Linked DNA regions of Canis lupus familiaris. The protein of the gene in region 1 purifies or fractionates together with the protein of each later gene. This does not show direct contact. Links are inferred from orthologs where the notes say so. Each region holds a gene or a part of one and is shown on either strand. Other genes may lie near its edges. The genes, in order: NFKBIA, TRIM22 and RELB.

Evidence for each region.
Region 2: the proteins of NFKBIA (region 1) and TRIM22 purify together in Homo sapiens (affinity purification with western blotting; 3 studies listed by BioGRID). This does not show direct contact. The link is inferred for Canis lupus familiaris from reciprocal best matches to the Homo sapiens genes NFKBIA and TRIM22.
Region 3: the proteins of NFKBIA (region 1) and RELB purify together in Homo sapiens (affinity purification with mass spectrometry; 4 studies listed by BioGRID and IntAct, counting the BioPlex papers as one, with this or other methods). This does not show direct contact. The link is inferred for Canis lupus familiaris from reciprocal best matches to the Homo sapiens genes NFKBIA and RELB.

Annotation. Positions count from the first base shown.
Region 1 is NC_049229.1:14,261,482-14,268,054, forward strand, and holds NFKBIA (NF-kappa-B inhibitor alpha), read right to left. Parts: upstream 4,403-6,573; 5' UTR 4,275-4,402; coding exon 4,048-4,274; intron 3,468-4,047; coding exon 3,359-3,467; intron 3,016-3,358; coding exon 2,805-3,015; intron 2,520-2,804; coding exon 2,431-2,519; intron 2,300-2,430; coding exon 2,039-2,299; intron 1,718-2,038; coding exon 1,670-1,717; 3' UTR 1,133-1,669; downstream 1-1,132. UniProt on the Homo sapiens protein: Inhibits the activity of dimeric NF-kappa-B/REL complexes by trapping REL (RELA/p65 and NFKB1/p50) dimers in the cytoplasm by masking their nuclear localization signals.
Region 2 is NC_049242.1:29,154,103-29,160,675, forward strand, and holds the start of TRIM22 (E3 ubiquitin-protein ligase TRIM22), read left to right. Parts: upstream 1-1,811; 5' UTR 1,812-2,014; intron 2,015-6,573. UniProt on the Homo sapiens protein: Interferon-induced E3 ubiquitin ligase that plays important roles in innate and adaptive immunity.
Region 3 is NC_049222.1:111,146,911-111,153,158, reverse strand, and holds part of RELB (transcription factor RelB), read left to right. Parts: intron 1-2,785; coding exon 2,786-3,001; intron 3,002-3,753; coding exon 3,754-3,822; intron 3,823-3,930; coding exon 3,931-4,008; intron 4,009-6,248.

The DNA.
Region 1 (6,573 bases):
TATATTAAAAGAGCCACTACGTATTGGCTCCTCTTTGGTCTGAGAGGAAGGTGATCATCATGCTCACTGGATTTTGACAGCATTTATGGATCCGGAAAGGGATAATGTAATGGCAATGTTTTCTTAGGTGTAAGCCAAAGTACATGGATTGCATTTATATGCCATTCTGTATTTTATATAATGCCATGAACTTGGCTATACTACTCTTTCTACCTAGGCAAGAAATGTCTTTTAGGGATGAAAACGTCAATACAGAGCATTTAAACTCAAATTTCACAAGTTCTTGACTTCTGTTAGATTCAGTAGAATTAGCAGATGGACCGAGCTGGGGAAAAGACTCTTTAGGCCTTTAGTATCACTCACTACAGCTGGTAACAATAGGTTGATTTAGAGGTGGAATGCAGTTAAAAGATATTAATCACCTGGAAACAAGGGCTGGAAGTTAACCACCTGCCTTTCCTGCAAGGTGACCCCAGACTGGACATTCTCTCTGGACTGGTTTCTTCCCCTTTGAAATACAGGATGTTGTGCAGTAGCTTGCATTTCTCTCTAGCACCATGTGCCTAGCACTCTGCTATGCTGCTTTAGACGTGTGTTATCTTGTACAATCTTTAGAACAGCCCAGTTTATAAATTAAGAAATGAAGGCTCAAAGGTGGGTACCTGCTAATGTTAGTGTGTTCCATTTCTGAGCTCATTCCTTAGGAACTTCCAGTATTATAGTTAAGAACTTTCCCAGTAATATAAAATGTGATTTAAGCATATTTCTCTTCATCAAAATAATTCCCTAAAGTGGAAGAGTCCTGGCATGCTTAAACCAAGATGAAAGCAGATGACAATGGAGGATTCCAGCTGTAGGCCAAGAAGCCCCCCACCCCTACCCCACCCCCACCACCTAAGAATGGTGGTTTCCTATCATCTTGCTAGAGCCTCCTCTCCCACGCATAGGGCCCTGGGGCTGCCGGCGAAGCCTGGCGGGGAGGCTGGCTTACACAGCGTGAGAAGCTGCTCTCTGAAAGGGCTTTGTAGCTAGCTGTGGTAAGCACTCCCACACAGCTCTACACCTCCCCAGAGGATCGGATGACTCTCAGGTTGGGAGCCCCATGGCAGCCCAAAGAGAATGATCACGATAATTCTGTTTGTAAAAATCTGTTTAATAAATACATGTCTTAGAAGTACCAAAATAATTACCAACAAAATACACAATGTACATCATTTACAGGGGGGTAAACACAAACCTTGACAGGTAGTGACTTTTAACCCCACACCGCCCCCCCCCCCCAAGGTTTAATGACACACCAGGTCATTACACCTGGTTGTCACGCATCCCACACTGGGCACAGCCACTGAATCTATGGTGATTCAATCAAAAAGCACAATGCGATGTAGTCCTTTTGTCACATTTTGCATAACCTCCTTCAGAAACCCCACAAAGGCAACTTCTGAACAAGGTTTTCTTTGAATTCCATTGATCTTGTCCTCCTTCCAAAGTTCACAAAAAATAACAAGGGCTGATCCACCATAGTAAATGTTTCTGGCTAGGGAATGTGAAGTGTGGTTTTAAGTACCCCCTTTTGATTTTTTTCTTTTTTTTTCTTTTTTTTAGAAAAATAAAACTCTCTTTTTGTACAAATATACAAGTCCGTGTTCTTTTAGATATGTTTTGAAGCTCATAACGTCAAGCGCTGGCCTCCAAGCACACAGTCATCATAGGGCAGCTAAAAACAAGAGAAAAAAAAGCCATGTTAAGCTTCCAGTTTTGTCAAAGGTACTGGGATAAGGGTGAGGGCCATTATCAAGTACTCTTGGATTCCATTCTCCATAACCCAAGTATAAATTAACCTCAGGGGCTAAGGAAGTTTTTCTTTAATGCTCCTCTCCTTTAAAAAGAGCAAAAAACAAAGACACACTTTTGGGAGACTCCTGGTCATGAACACTAAAGTGGGAGAACTTCATTGCATTGAGCTCTTTGGATAAAGAGGAGCTCTAGAGACCTGGGAGGGTACTGCTTTGTGCAGAGCGATGGAGTTGACACTCACCTCGTCCTCTGTGAACTCTGACTCTGTGTCATAGCTCTCCTCATCCTCACTCTCTGGCAGCATCTGAAGGTTTTCTAGGGTCAGCTGGCCCAGCTGCTGCTGTATCCGTGTGCTTGGGCGGCCCCACGTGAGCTGGTACGGGGAGTAGCCCTGGTAGGTAACTCTGTTGACATCAGCCCCACACTTCAACAAAAGCGACACAAGGTCAGAATTCTGCAGGTCCACTGCAAGATGGAGGGCGGTTCGGCCATTACAGGGCTCCTGAAACCAAAAGGAATTTGAGATGTTTATGGTTGAGTTTGGAATTTCTACTTGCAACAAGAACATGTGAGGTCTTATTGAGGAGGGCCTGGAGCCCTGATGCGTTCCATCTGGAGACATGAAGAACTCACCTGAGCATTGACATCAGCACCCAAAGACACCAGAAGCTCCACAATGCCCAAATAGCCATGGATAGAAGCTAAATGTAGACATGTGTGACCTAGAAGAACAATGAAGCAAATATAACCACTTGCTTCAACCCTCAGATCTCAAGCAGAACTTTCTGTCTATTCTTATAGGGAATAAATTCTGAATTTGGAGAACCCAGAATCTGGGCTCTGAATGAACTTTATCAAGGCATGAAACAGACCTTTTGCATGCATATTTTCTCAACCTTTCAAGTATTCAGAGTTTCAGCTCTTGCCTGGACTCCTAACATTGGCCTACCTCTCCCTTCTCCATGTCACCTGCCTTCTGATGGGCAGGGTAGGGCAGGCAGACATACCATTGTAGTTGGTGGCCTGGAGGATGGAGTAGAGGTGCTGGGTCCTGCAAGTCTGAGTCAGGACTCCCACGCTGGCCAGGCAGCCTTGCTCACAGGCAAGGTGTAGGGGGGTATTTCCTCGAAAGTCTCGGAGCTCAGGATCACAGCCAGCTTCCAGAAGTGCCTCAGCAATTTCTGGTTGGTTGGTGATCACAGCCAAGTGGAGTGGAGTCTACAAACACAAGAGGGAATAGAAAGAGGGTAAGCCATGGCCCAAACTCAAGAGTCTGTCTTCCCTTGAACTCCGGAGATCTACTGGTTGTGGGTGCTGCTCCTCCTCCCAGACAGGTATGAAGGGCAAGATAAATGCCAGAGGCCGCAGGTGGGCTTTCATCATAGGCCTCACCAAATCAATAGAATTTTCTTTATTCTCTAGGACGTTGGCCGATTCCAATGTAAAAAGGTCAAGGTACATAATGCCCAGTGATTATTAATTTAGAAAGGATTGGGAGCAACTGAGCTAGATCCAACTTCATCACTGGGTCAGAGGCACAGGGCTGGGCGAGCCGGCGCACCTGCTGCAGGTTGTTCTGGAAGTTGAGGAAGGCCAGGTCGCCCTTCACTTGGCGGACCACTTCCATGGTCAGGGCCTTCTCTTCATGGATGATGGCCAAGTGCAGGAACCTAAGGGGAAGAGAGGGAAAAACCCCCAGGGCTGGTGAGTGCATCGCGTGGGGCCCAGGGAGGCGCGGGCTGCGGGGGATTGCGCAAGGCCGGGGTTTCTGGAGGCCGAGGCCGCGGTGTTTTCCGCGAGGTTATTATGAGCTGAGTGTTCCTGGCAGGCGCCCAGGGACTTTCCGGGCCCCCTCCCTCCTCGGCGGGCGCCGGCCAGACCGCCCCGCCCTCCCGCCGGGCCGGAACGCCCTGTACTTCCCCTCCCGGCCCCCCGGCGCCCGCCCGCGGGGCAGGAGCTCCCGCCCCCCTTGTGCAAGCGGGGACTTCGCGTCCCCGCCGCCGCCCCGCCCCCGCCGGCAGGACCGGCTCCGGACCGGGGCTGGGGGGTGGGGGTGCGCGCTGCAGCGCAGGGCTGCTGCACCGCCAGCCCGGGATCCGACCCTCCTCTGCTGCCCGCAGCGCAGCCGGCAGCTTTGCGCGGTCCCGGGGCCAGGGGTGTACGGGGGATCGGTGCCCACACCCCGGTCGGCTGCCGCCCCTCGGCCTCGCGCTGCAGGCGCGGCGTCCCCGCCCGCCCCGAGACACCTACGAGTCTCCGTCCTCGGTGAGCTGCTGCTTCCAGGGCTCGGCGCCGCGCGGCGCCTCCTGCGGCTCGAGACGGATCTCCCGCAGCTCCTTCACCAGCTGCTCGTACTCCTCGTCCTTCATGGAGTCCAGGCCGCTGTCGTGGCGGTCGTCCAGCAGCCGCTCCTTCTTGAGCGCGTCCCGGGGACCCTCCATGGCCCAGTCCTGGGCGTGCTCGGCTTGCTGCAGCATGGCGCGGGAAGGCTCGGCGCTGCTGCCCAGGTGCGCTCGGCCGCGGGCTGCGCGCTCGCCGCCTCGCCTCGCCTCGCCTCGCAGGGTCACGGACGCAGGACCGCTGGCTGCGACTCTTGTGGGCTCGCCAGCGCCGCCGCGGCGCCCTATAAACGCTGGCAGGGGATTTCTCCGGGGCGGGGTCAGGCGCGGGGAATTTCCAAGCCAGTCAGACCAGAAAAGAGAACTGGCCCCGTCCTCTGCTCGGGAGGGGGAGGAAGGGGGAGAAGCCTAAACCCTGAGCCGGGTTCATCAGAGAAACTCCCGGCGATGAGCCACTGGGGTCATGTACAGGGAACTTTTTGATGAACGCTGAGCGGCTGGAAAGTCCTCCCGACCGAGGCCCCCTCCCCCGGTACTTCCCTGCAGCTTGCACTCGGTAATCCTGTCCCTCTGCAAGCGGCCTTCTTTCCCTGGGGTTTCCCACGATCGATTCGACTTGGGGTCGTCGGCTGCTGAGATCCCAATGAACGCAGACCCGCCAGGCAGTTCCTCCTTGGGGTTTGCCAACCTTTCCGTTTCTTGATCTTTTGAAAACTCGGGTGGAAATGATGGCTGGACGTAGGGATTTGCTTCCCCAAACTTCTGCGGGGAAGGACGCACTGGCGGGTTAGAAGGTCGCCGGCTGCCTCTGCCACCCTGCCAATGCCAGGCTCTTTGTGGCGCGGGGACACACGTAGCACTCCCTCGAGGCCCCCCCCCCCCCCCAACCAGGTAAAAGTTGTGCATGCTTTGGCATTAAAAGCCAAAAAGCTTTTGGCATTTTTTGGCATTGAAATGCTTGGAGAACCCTCAAATCATTTCCTCGGGATTAACATTCCTGTTGACTGGTGGAGAGGCAAGCACTCTGCCCTGTGTTCAGCGAAAACGCTGAACAGGACCATACTTTTTTTCAGGTAAAGCAAGGTGTTAATCTTTGTAGTAGAGGTTGTAGCTAGCTGCCCTGCACGAACAAAATAATTATTGAGGTCATGTTTCCTGATTTGCACTGTGCTGCTGCAGAGCCTACTTCTGGGTACCCAGCCGGTGTCTTTCCAGAAGCATTTGGAAGAGGCTGAAGAATAGGTTGAGAAGTGCCTTACCCAAGATTGGGCCTTAAGGATGGTTTAGATTGCAAAGCATCCTACAGAAGGCCACCCTCCCGCCAACCTAACATTACCCTCTTGCTGGCTCCCTGCTCTCCTGCCCTGGAGAGGGCAGCAGTTGGACCTCTCCAGGCGCTGTGTATAGCCCCTATGGGCTCCTCATCCTTTGGTTTCACCTGCAGAAATATAACTTACGTTCCCCACCCTACCCCCATTCTCCTAGCCAACCAGCCTCTAACAGAATTTTTCTATCTCTAGAATTGGTCCAGGCAAAATGAAGCAACTCAGGTCAGAGTTTTTCAGAACTAGCTCCAGGAGGCTTTATAATTTTGCAGAAATTTCTGGTGATTATATTGCAATCATCTTAACTTGACTGGCCATATACTAACCAACCCTTTGCTCATCTCTTCTCCCTCCACTCCTCCCGACTATCTGAATTTAGGGAACCGGGGTCGGGGGAGTGAGATAAAAAAAATATAAGGGGGGATAAAAGCCCTAAAATCAAGAAATAAAACCTTCAGGATAGGGACGCCCGGGTGGCTCAGCTGTTGGATGCCTGCCTTCAGCTCAGGTCGTGATCCCGGGATCTGGGATCGAGTCCCACATCAGGCTCCTTGCAAGGAGCCTGCTTCTCCCTCTGTCTGTGTCTCTGCCTCTCCCTCTCAGTCTGTGTCTCTCATGAATAAATAATCTTAAAAACAACAACAACAACCTTCAGGATAGTAATGATCACATGTTATAATGAAAACTTCCAAAGATAGACTCCATTGTCTCTGCAGGCATATAATATACAAACTATACAATTATTGAGGCAGGGCACAACAGCTATAAATAAATCTCAATTGCAGGCTCTACCTCTAATTAATTACATATTAATTTGGAGAGATCAGTTAACTTTGCTGTGGTGTACCGGCTTTTATAATAACATTGGATTTAACGTCATTTAAGGTTTCTCTCCAGCTTAAAAATTTTATTACTTGTCCACAGATACATAATAACTGCCTCAGGGTGACCATGTCTCTTAGAAATATCACAGTATGTTTTTAGAAGGATTCCCAACACTTACTGCAATACACTGTTAGTTCTCAGAACTCCTCTTGTTAGGTATAGTTCCTACTTTCCCCAAAAGAGACTGAAATGCAAAGAAATTTACCGAGGCACCCGATGGCAGTTTA
Region 2 (6,573 bases), on another chromosome or scaffold:
TCTTTTCAGTCTGAGAAAACCACAAGCCACAGGAAGTAAGGTGGTTAGAATGTGCTGGTATAGAACGATTAAAAAACAGGCACTGAGAGAATTATCTGAGTAAACTTTAGGAGCAAAACAGAGAAGACATGAAAAAATTGTTGGGTAACATTCTTCAAAGGCGTTGATATAAATATTTATGCCAGAATTCACACACACCACAGCACTTATGTTGACTGCAAAAGCAACAGTAGAACCAAACCATGATTATCATCAGTTTGTTCAATGCAATTTAAGTGGTATCTATAGCCATATAAATGTGTGTCTATTTAAATATCATTCCCTGTATGCAACACTTTGCAATATATTTGAAACAAGAAGGAACAACATAGAAAATTTCCCTTTCGGCCTTCATAAAGCTTACTGTTGTTTGGTGCAGGGCTGCAAGGGGAGGAGTAGTTGATGATAGTATTATATGATAGCAAAGGTGATAAAAAATGCTAGCTCTCAGAATGCAATTTGTTTTTTTTTTTTTAATTTTATTTATTTATTCACGAGAGAGAGAGATAAAGAGACAGAGACAGAGACACAGGCAGAGGGAGAAGCAGGCTCCATGCAGGGAGCCCGACATGGGACTCAATCCCGGGTCTCCAGGATCAGGCCCTGGGCCAAAGGCGGCGCTAAACCGCTGAGCCACCCCGGCTGCCCTTTCAGAATGCAATTTATACAAAATGGAGATGATTATAATTGCACGTGAAAAGCATCACAACTTTCTTCATTGTTAGGAAAAACTTACTTCAGTATACTCCTATATGATTTTCCAGTTCCTGCCTCATAGATATAAGAGATTCGAGAAGTTTATAAGCCACAATTACCTTACATGTCTGTGGGTTACAAACAATACCAGAATATCTGTGCTTTACTTCACCAAACATCGACTTCTCAGTTGCCCTGCAGATCTCACATCAGTTCATGTGTGAAGTTTGCCATGCTCTGCAATTCCTTCAGTCAGAGATCTCTGGTAGAGCTGCCACCACCATGAAGTTGCCCGGTCTACAATATGTAATCAGAGCAAGGACAAGATAGATAACACAACACTAAAGTGTGTGCAGGAAATAGAAGATGTTTCACTCCTGCTTTTGATTGATAGTAAAAGAAGGACAAATTTTTCCCAAAGGAAGTGGGGGAAGGTGGAAAAATTATGGAGGTGTGTTACTCAGTAAAAGATTGTGCTTGAATACTATCATGTATTAACTTACATGTTCTCACCTGCCTCCTGGTTGTTGGGTAACAAGGCACTGATTTGGTTCTACTATGATTAATTTCTAGAAGCCTTCCTTTTCTGACCTGCCTGCATAAGAAACAGAAACTGGTAATTCACCGGTATACTACTAAGATTCAATGACATTTTGGAAAAATTTTTCTCCCTAGGCTCACACTGAAGAAACTTTTAAATTTTATTTTTACTATTTACAATAATGGCTGCTGACAGTCATTATGTCTGCTCATATTTACAGAGATTTATAACTGATTATCTTTCCCATCACTGTCTGCATTGCAAGAATTCAGATCCAATCTTTCCGGATCATTATTTTATCCTTCATGACTTGCTTAGGGCTTGAATATAGGATAAGCTCTACAAATAATTATAGGATTAAATTGAAATGCTGAGTATTCAGGCTATATCATTGTGCTTCACTTTTTTTTTTTTTTTTTTTTCTTGCTCAAATATTCTTGCTGGAGTAAGCCAGGGTAGGAATAAGAATGCAGTGATTGGGTGCCTAGCTGGTGCAGGTTCTAGAACATATCCTTCCCTGGCATCCTACTTGGTGCCCTCCCACAGTTATTGTTTTGTAAGTTTCTTCTCTGCTTCTTTTCTTTCATTTCCCCTTCTCAGATTTTAAGTTTCATTTCTCACTCAGTTCCTGTAGGGAAACTCTTTTGTGGAGAGCAGTTTTCTGGCTTGGTGAGTGAATCTTGCCTATACCTGCATCTGATCTCCGCTGAATCAAGACTTCTCTACTTCAACCTAAAGGTGTGTGTGGGGCAGTTTGGGAGGGCAAAGGACAGGACGTTTGGAAGGAACATATTGAATGTGTTTGGATGAGTTTAATTTGTGGTTCTGAAGCTGCTTTAAATTCACCAAAGAGCCAGCTGGTAGGTTTTCTGCAAAAGAGAGGTGCATTGAGTCTGGGGGCACCATGACTGATAAAGAAGGGAGGTTTAACAACATCAAAAGCCTTATTTGTTTCTTGGAGGGATCATTATTTCTCCCAGTTGAATTACTCTCATTTTCTTTCTTCCTTAGTTTTGAATTTTCTACCTTGCCAAGGTGAGCCAGAATAACTTTCCCCCCCCAGAAACAGAAAATCTCTTCCTCTTTTCCTCCAGCAAAGCCCATGGAATGGAGCCCTGTTTTCCCTCTTCATAAAAGCCCAAGCTCCTGCAGAAAGCCAGCACAGACAAGAGTCCTTATCTGGACTTGTGAGAGGGAAAGGGAACTTAAGGGTTGTGCCTGGGAGAAGAAGCTCTTGAAATTCATCCTTTTAATCTTCTTGTCCTGATAACTTCTGGGAAGCTGTCTAGGACCTTTCTGATAAATTACCAGACTTTTGGCCAGCCTGATGAGAGAGGCTGGATGATTAGGCGGCTGTCCATCTTTGCAGCTCCTCCATGGTCACTTGTCTCTCTGGAGCTCCAACCACATGTTTTTTTTTTTTTTTTTTTTTTTTTTTTTTTTTTTTTTTTTTTCTGAGTGTGCATGGCTTACTGCCATCTCAGCAGCACCTGCACAATGCTCTGGTGTTCACTCCTGCTTTACGAGAAGGACAATCATTGTATGGTTTCACTCATACAGGGAATGTAAAAAATAGTGAAAAGGATTATAGGGGAAAGGAGAGAAAATGAGTGGGGAAAAACAGAGAAGTTGACAAAACATGAGAGACTCCTAACTCTGGGAAATGAACAAGGGGTAGTGGAAGGGGAGGTGGGCGAGGGGATGCGGTGACTAGGTGTCAGGCACTGAGGGGGGCACTTGATGGGATGAGCACTGGGTGTTATACTATATGTTGGCAAATCAAGTTCTGATAAAAAAAATATATACATTAAAAAAATGAACTTGTCCTCTATCATCTTAGACACACCTTCCCATTGCTTTCTAGCTCAACCCTTTACTCCATTTTCCCTGCACAGAGCTAAGGAAGGGAGTTGGTAATTTCTCAGAAAGAACTCCATCTTAATCTCTCTGAACACCTTGTAATTTGATCTCCATATTATGTAATATTTTGATGTGTAATTTCCTTTTACTTTTTAGAAGTCATTGGTCTGTGTCTTATATCTAGACAAGGTTTATATATAGTGAATATTAATTGTTTGCTCGGGGGCTAGTACAGGGCCCAATGGATGGGAGAAAGTGAATTAAAAATTTTTTTAAACATTTTAGATTAAATTCACAAGAGCAAAAGTATATAGCTCTGATGAAAAAAATTGTATTAACACTGAACATTCAATAAATACTAAGCATCTGTAAAAGATTATATTCTGGGTGAGTGGAGAGAAAGTAAATAAACAGCAAAAGGATAATTCAATATGAGAAAACATGAAAACAAAGAAACAATAGCACGAATAGACAAAAAGGCCTGCCAAAGGGCCTGGTGTCTATGGTGTGCCCTCCTAAAGGGCTTTAACAATTTAAAATAGATTTCATGGTAGGTATCAGTGTGAGAAGGTGATTTTGAGCTGAGTTTTCATGGAATTGATGGCTTTAAGATGGATTTTTGCCCAGAGTGATCAAGGAACAAATAAGGTAGCCAGTCTAAATCGGGGAGGAGTAGGAGCTGGGCTAAGGGGATGAGGCAATAGGAGGGGATGTATAATGTGAACCTAACTCAACCACCATAAAGACTGACTCAAGTTGAATGATATGTATTTGAGCAGAGAAATGGCAAGATTGATTGATTCTAAAAAAAAAAAAAAAGAGAGAGAATCGTTCTTGCTGGTGGGGTGAACAGTGATGAGAGCAGATTGTATGAGATGAATGACAGTATCAGGGAGACTGGTGGGGAACCTATTCCTGGAATCCAGGTAAGAGATTCAGTTGGATGGGATCTAATTTGAAGAGACAGACAAGGATTAACCTCCTGTCACTTACGGACATGGACTTGTGTGACAAAATGACTGCTTTGAAACAACTGGACCTCAGAGCTCTTGGGGGCAGGGTCATTTATGTGGGGGAAGATTAAACCCTGTACTCTAAAGGGTGGTAGAAGGGGGAGCTCTGGATGTAGAGAAATGCAGAGGAATTATAACACTTCTGAGTTCCCAGGTCTCTGGATGCCAAGAACAAGCCTTACTTTCCAACTGACAATTCCTAATCCAGGGAATAGGGAAAGTATTATAGATATTGTCGAACCCCCTCATAGGACTTTCTCTCCTTATTGTGAAGACACTTTCATTTTTCTTGTCTAAACTGTGCAGACACAGAAAGCCTCTGTGCAGACAATCAGGATATACTGAGAAAAGGAAACTTAGGATCTAGTAGGCCCTTACCCTACCATAGAAAGTCCTACATTTGTACCATCTCCAAAGTGAGCCTACATTTTGTCTCTGTGTCTGTCTGTCTGGTTTAGGTGGAGGGAGTTTCAATGGTGAAACACTTCTTCAATGATAGAATAAAGAATAAATGAATAGAGGAAACAGATGCACTTATATTAGTTTTCTGGGACTGCCATAAAAACACAAATCACAAATCGTTGGCTTAAATGAAATTTATTTTCTCGCAATTCTGGAGCCTAAGAGTACAAGATCAAAGATGTTGGTAGGGTTGGTCTTTCTGCAGGTGGTGATGGAGGATCTGTTCTGGGTTTCTGCTAGTTTCTGGTAGCTTTCTGGCTATCTTTGGTGTTCCCTGGTTTGTAGATGCATCACCCTGATCTCAGCTTTTGTCTTCACATGGCCTTCTCCATGTGTGCATGTCCATCTGTGTCTCCAAATTGCCTCATTTTATGAGGACATAGTCATATTGAATTAAAGCCCATCATAATGACTTCATTTTAACTTGATCATCTGCAAAGATACCATTTCCAAGCGAAGTTACATTTACACATATTAGAGGTTAGGACTTTGACATATTTTTTGTGGAACATAATTCAACCTGCAATAGCACCCAATGTGTTTGAAACAGGACAGACTTTATCTCTCTATCAATGGTCTTTGTTCTATATTGAGTCTTCTCTCCCACAACTGACAGAGAACTCAATGGAATTTATGTTTCTTGAGATCTGTCATGTGTGTGATCCTGAGTATATGAATCTGTTATTTTCCTCCCTAAAAATATAAATGCCCATCTAGTTCTTACAACCTTTACCTCCGTTTGTCTTTGTTAATATCTTTGCAAAGTGCAAAGATAACTCTGAAAGAGGATCCTGTGGATTGTATGTCCACCAACTCTACCCTTTATAAAATAATGATCTCTATAAATAGAATGATCTATACATCATTTGATTCTATTTATACATCTGAGGAAAGGATATACTCCTATTTCTCAAGGATTTTTATATAAGGGGTAAATAGGTCAAAGTCATTTGTAAACTGCAACTGGTTATAAAATTGTTAGTGATACAATTATCTGCCTATTGTGGCCCTTGCTGTTTCTATCTCCCTATTTGGGGAATGAATTTGAGGGCATGGGAAGACTCCGTGTGTGACAGATGTGTTGGGAGGTAAATTTTTCAGCTATTAGAGAACTGCTAATAAGTGGAAAGAAAAAATGAAAAGCTAATGAGAAAGATCTAGTCAATTACAGAAAGATGAGGAGTTCTAACTTTATAAATTCATCACATTTTGTGTTCCTGTGTATGATGTTCCTCTCTAGATACCAAGGAACTGTCAGTGCACGAAACCATGCCTGATCTATCCTTAGATTACTTTTTAGGAGGAAGAATAAGACATTTAAAGAAAGATGTTATATATTATATAGTAAATAAGAGAAATTTAGCAAATTTACAGCAATGTATCAATTGACCAGAAAAGACAAACCTGTATAAACAGGCTCAAAATGGGGGAGACTGCTAATGACATTCAGTTTGTTTTCAAGTGATGGAAATGTTCTAAAATTGGACTTGGGGTTGGTAATACAGTTCCCTAAGTTTACTGAAATCATTGTATTGTACTCTTAAAATGAGCGCATTTGATATACATATAACTTGATAAAACTTTTTAAAAAGGGAGTCAGGCAAATATTAGGGGTAGGATCACTCCAATTAGGAGGAGAGCAGTGCAAAAGACCAGGTGTTACAGTGGGTTTAGTGTATTTAACATGGAGGATGTATTTGGGGGTGGGAGAGTAAAGACAGAAAAAATTGATGAGTTGCACATGGTTCTTGGTAGGAAGGGCTTCAATTTGTCCTACCAGCAGAAGAAGAGAAACTAGCAAGCTTGCCCTGATGGGGTGAAATTTCTCATGCGATATAAACTTAGAGTCAAGCGTTTGAAATATTACAAAGAGCCATTTTCATTCTGCTATTGACTTACTTCTCTTGTCTGTTTTCCTTTCTGTATTGTATATTAATATTTTTCCCTGTTCTAAATCTCTAC
Region 3 (6,248 bases), on another chromosome or scaffold:
GCTGCCAGTTCAGTGGTGGTGGTGGGGAGGTTAGGGAAAGAAACACAAATTACAATTGTGAGTTATGCTGAGAAGGAAGAAGACAAAGCATTAGAACTGGGTGAGAGCACTAAAACAACAAGAAGACCAGACACGGTCTGGCCACCTTGGAAGGCTTCCCAGAGGAAGTGATATTTGAGCCAAGATCTGAGGAATGCCACAGAGATTGTTAGGGTCCTGGGAGTTGGGGCCAGAGCAGGGAAACTGGTCCAGGTGTGTGCAAATAACTAGAGGCAGATGTCAGTCTTGTTCTATTGTTCGTTCACTGGCCGGTCTCGGACTGGTGGCTTCACTACCCTGAGCTTCTGCTTCCTTATCCCTCAAATGAGTTGGTGTTAGGTTGAGACAGGCTCTCAATTACCCAAGAACTACACTATAAAGAGTTAGCATTTACTGAGAATTTCTGAGTGCCAGGCCTGAAGCTAGTACTTTGTGTAATGCTAATAAAAGTAATCATACCTGGGGTACCTGGGTAGCTCAGTTGGTTAAGCATCTGCCTTTGGCTCAGGTCATGATCCAAGGGTCCTGGGGTTAAGCCCTACATCAGGCTCTTTGCTCAGCAGGGAGCTTGCTTTTCCCTCTCCCTCTGCTTGCAGCTCCCCCTGCTTGTACTCTCTCTCTCTCTCTCTGTCAAATAAATAAAATCTTTTAAAAAAAGTAATCATACTTAACGTGGACTGAGCACCTTTACTTGGAGTGATTCAACTAATCCTCCAAGCAACCATGTGAAGTAGGTACTCTGATTTTGCTTCTGCTTAGGTGAGGAAACTAGGCCCAGAGATATCAGGTAACTTCCCCAAACCCTTGGGAGATGGTGGTGAAGAGCTCTAGCCCACTTGGATTCCCATCTTGCCTCTACCACTTGTTGGCTTTGTGACCTCGGACAAGTGACTTCACCCTTTCCGTGCCTTTGCTCCCTCTATATAATGGGTTTCCTCAAGGTACTTTTTTTTCATAAGATTGCTGTGTGACTTAGAGGCAATCTCTGTGTGTCTAGACAAATATAAAGCCTCAGTAGATGGAATTAGTGTGAAAAGAGGCAATGCAATAAGATAAGAAAAAGAAATAATGGGCAGTATAGCATACTGGATCCTGACTATCCTGCTACCAGCTGTGTGACCTTGGGTAAGTCTCTTTACCCTTCGAAGCCTCAGTTTCCCCATATTTAAAGGGGGTATGTAAAAGAGTTAACATAGAAGGTCTGAGACTGTTATCCTTTGAAAGGCCTGTGTGCAAGGTTGATGCTTGGCTGGTTATTGGGAGCTTGGATAATGAGAGGGGCTCACTGTGCTTTAACTATATGAACAAGGTGGTTTGTGCTGAACACCTGCTTTGCTTCTGGGAGTCTGAAATTTTGATATAGGCCAGGCAGAGGGTGCCTATGTAACCAGCCCCCAATAAAAACCCTGTGTACTGAATCTCCAGTGAGCTTCCCTGATAGACAGCATTTCACATGTGTTGTCACAGTTTGTTAATGGGGTGGGGAAGGGATTAACATGTTCTCTGTTTCCACTGGGAAAAGACTCCTGGAAACTTGTGACTGGTTTTCTCTGGACTTCACTCCAGGCATCTTTTCCCTTTACTGAGGATGCTAGGTATCTTTTTGCAGTAATAAATCATGCATGAGTACAATTATAGGCTGAGTCCTGTGTGTCCCCTTAATGAATCACTGAATCTGATGGTGGTCTAGGGGGACTTCTGACATGGTGGCGATATTAATTCTGTCTGTCTCTCATGTTGCTAAAAGGATTAAATAAGATAATATATTAAAAATATGTAAAACACTTAGTGGCTGGCACACAGTAGGTGCTCAACAGAAGGTTAACTGCTGCTATGATTAGTTTTATTCTTTTTTCTTAAGATTTGTTTTTTTTAAGATTCTATTTATGTATTCATGAACTACACAGAGAGAAGCAGAGATATAGGCAGAGGGAGAAGCAGGTTCCTCAAGGGATCCCAATGTGGGACTTGATCCCGGGACTCTAGGACCACACTCTAAGCCATAGACAGACACTCAACCATTGAGCCACCCAGGTGTCCCAGATTTATTTATTTGAGAGAGAAAGAGTATGTATGAGCAGGGGAGGGACAGAGGGAGAGAATCTTAGGCAGATTCCTCACTTCCTTAGCCCCCCTCCCAATATGGGGCTTAGTCTCACGAACCTGAGATCATGACCTGAGCCAAAACCAAGAGTTGGACGCTCAACCAACTGAGCCCCTCAGGTGCCTCTATAATTAATTTTATTCTTAAGGATATCAATATTGGGGGCACCTGGCTGGTTCAGTTGGTAGAGTATGGGAATCTTGAGCTCAGAGTTGTGAGTTCAAGCCCCATGTTGTGTGTGAAGCTCATTTAAATCAAATGGATGTAATAAAAAAAAAAAACAAATGGATGTAATAAAACTTAACATATATATATACATATACACACACACACATATTTTTAAAAGAATATCAATGTTGGGATCCCTGGGTGGCGCAGCGGTTTAGCGCCTGCCTTTGGCCCAGGGCGCGATCCTGGAGACCCGGGATCGAATCCCATGTCGGGCTCCCGGTGCGTGGAGCCTGCTTCTCCCTCTACCTGTGTCTCTGCCTCTCTCTCTCTCTCTCTGTGACTATCATAAATAAATAAAAATTAAATAATAAAAAAAAAGAATATCAATGTTGATTTGGGGGAAGGCTGAATGAGTTGGGGGCCCGGTGGGCCAGTGCCCTGGCTCAGCTGACGTCCCCACTTTCCCGCCAGAGGATATATCGGTGGTGTTTAGCAGGGCCTCCTGGGAAGGCCGGGCTGACTTCTCCCAGGCCGATGTGCACCGCCAGATTGCCATTGTTTTCAAGACACCACCCTATGAGGACCTGGAAATCGTTGAGCCTGTGACCGTGAACGTCTTCCTGCAGCGGCTTACTGACGGGGTCTGCAGCGAGCCTCTGCCCTTCACGTACCTGCCTCGGGACCATGGTAACCACGGCAACCCAGGGTGACCCATTGCCCAGAGACCAGGTGTCTGGCCTAGAGGGGACAAGGGAAGAGGCAGAAGTAAAATGCAGGCTCTTGACTGCACAGGCTGGGTTCAGTTCCTGGCTCTACCTCTTACTGGTTGTGTGACCTTAGCCTCTCTCTGACCCTGTCTCCTGTGTAAAATGGAAGTAACAGTACATAGCTGATGGCATTTGGGGAATATTTGATTATTTCTCCCCTCAGCTTGCCTCCTCATGCCTGGCCCTGTACTGAGTGGTGCTGAGGACACAGCAGTGACCAAGATAGCCCCAGCCCTGCTCTCATAAGTCTCACAGTCCTATTGTGGGGATAGATTTGCTCGGAGGACTCAGATTGCTCAGAGTGGGCATCTGGTCCAGGCTTGGGGATTAGGAAGGGCTTCCTGGAGGAGGGGATGACTTAGTTGAGGACATGGGGATGACTAGGCAGTTGTCCAGGGAAGTGGTGGGAGTTGGAAAATAGTGTTTCAAATAGCTAGAATAGCAAGTGCAAAGGTCCTGAGGCAGGATTGTGCCTGGGATGTTCCAGGAACAACAAAGAGGCCAGTGTGGCTTGAAGTGAATTTGGGTTTCATTCTGATTGAGATGCGGACATCTATTTGCATTAGTTGGTCAAGAATTAGAACAGGTCAATGACTTCCTAAATGGTCTCTATAATTAATTCTTAATTATTATTATTGATGGATAATGTTGCCCCTGGTATCTCCTGAACAGACAGCTATGGCGTGGACAAGAAGCGGAAACGGGGGATGCCTGATGTCCTCGGGGAGCTGAACAGCTCTGGTGTGTCCCCTCTGCCCCTTTCCACATCCTGGGAGGGGATGGCTAAGCCCTAGCCTGGGGAGGAGGGGCTGTGAGGGTCCAGGGGTCCTCATCTCTGCCTTCCTTCAGATCCGCATGGCATCGAGAGCAAACGACGGAGGAAAAAGCCAGCCTTCCTGGATCACTTCCTGCCCAACTCCAGCTCAGGTGGGTTGTGGTTCCCCACTTAGGGCAAGCCCCTGCTCTCTGAAGTGGGATGAGGGTGAGCTGCAGCCCTGCTTCTGGCCTCTTCAGCAACCCCCCCCCCCCGCCCTCCCGCCAAGAGGTCCCACAAGGCCAGGAACTCACATCTCAGGCAGCAGCATGAAGTACATGAAGTAGAAAGTACAGTTCTGGATACCATTTGGAGGAGGCTCGATGTCTCCTGGGCCATTCACTTGCTGTGTGACCCTCACCAAGTTGCTCGACCTCTCAGGGCCTCAGAGACTCCTCTGAAAAGTTTCACCATACACCTCCCTCATTGGCCTTTTAGATTTTTTTTTAAAGATTTTATTTTATTGGGGATCCCTGGGTGGCGCAGCGGTTTGGCGCCTGCCTTTGGCCCAGGGCGCGATCCTGGAGACCTGGGATCGAATCCCACATCAGGCTCCCAGTGCATGGAGCCTGCTTCTCCCTCTGCCTGTGTCTCTGCCTCTCTCTCTCTCTGTGACTATCATAAATAAATAAAAATTTAAAAAAAAAAGATTTTATTTTATTATTCATGAGAGACACAGAGAGAGAGGCAGAAACACAGGCAGAGGGAGATGCAGGCTCCATGCAGGTAGCCTGACGTGGGATTCGATCCGAGGTCTCCAGGATCAGGCCCTGGGCTGAAGATGGCACCAAACTGCTGAACCACCCTGGCTGCCTGGCCTTTTAGATTTTATTGCATTTCTTTTTATAGACACTATATAATGGGTACATAGGTGCTTTGTGTATGTTTACTCATTGAATCTATACCATCACATCACTTCCCCCCTCATTTTACTGATAAAGAAACTGAGGCCCGGGAAGCTGAAGTCTCTTAGCCAAGGTCACATACTGCATTTGCGGTGGAGCAGGGACTTGAACCTGGGCATCTATACAGGTAGATTAGTGATACAATATTATGTGGAACAGATAGCAGGGGGTAAATGGTAGATAAATGGGAGGGGTTGTCAGAGCCAACCAGCCTTAATTCAGAGCCTGTCTCTAGCCCAAACACCCTCTGGCCTGTTCTACCCCTGCTTTCATCTTAACTCATATGCCAGCCTCTGCTTCCCATGAACTGCAGCCTTATCTGGCTGCCATCAGAAGCCTCCCCAGCCGCTGACCACTAGCTCTAACAGTGCTGTCCCCTAATACCCCAGCTACCCCAGGGCACCCAGCTCCCAGCCAGCCACCAACAGCCAGCCACTCAGAGTCTGCTGAGCCTGGATCACTCCAACCAGTCCCACTGTGGAGGTTTCAAGTATCACCTGTTGTTCCCCCTACCCACTGCACCTGGTAACTAATGCCCAGAGCTCTACCTATAGCAACAACCAATCCTAGCCCACTTCACCAGTCTTCAATCCCCAAGTCCCAAAGCGTCTCCTCTTTAGCCACTGCTGTTCATCTACGTCCTCCATCACCCGTTTCCCAATGCCTAAAGCCCTCCTCTCTCATCCATGGGGCAAAGCTGCTCTGGCATGATAGTATAATGGTTAGGAGCATGGCCTCTGGAATCAGACTGAGTTTGGATTCTGAAGCCTGAATTTAGCCATGTGACTTCTTTGGATCTCATCTGTCAGATGGAAATCTTACCTCTTAGGGTCCTTTTTAGAATCTAGTCAGGTCATATCACACAGATAGTTAGCATAGTTAGTGCTCAGGAGATCTTAGGAACTTGCTGGACAGGAATGCCAGGAATGCATTTGTTATGATCATGTTTAGCTGTATTCACAACAAAACCCAAATTAACAGGGGCTTCAACAGGCTATATTTCTCTTCTCAGATAAACAGTGGTAGATAGTCCTGGGATGGTGTGGAGGCTGTAGGATCATCAGAGACCCAACCAAGCTCCTGCCATTTTCAACTCATTTTCCATCTCATGGTCCAATATGGCTGCTGAGGCTCCAGCCATCACACCCATAGTCCAGCCAGGAGAACTTAAGTCACATGATGACATTTAGCTGTAAGGGAGGCTGGGAAATAGAGTCCCAGCAGCCCTGAGTCTTTCTGAGATAAGCATAATTTGCCTTTGCTGGTCAGGTTTGTCTTGTCTCAGAAAGAGACTCTCCTTTATAATGACATACAATTTTACCTTCCAATTTGGGAACTGGTGACTTCTCATTTAGGTCTTCCATGTGTGGGGCTTTCACTTTTTGGGTGGTCTCTATAACTTGGGTGAGGGGAGGACTTTAGAGCCTCTTCAACATCCTTATTTTTTG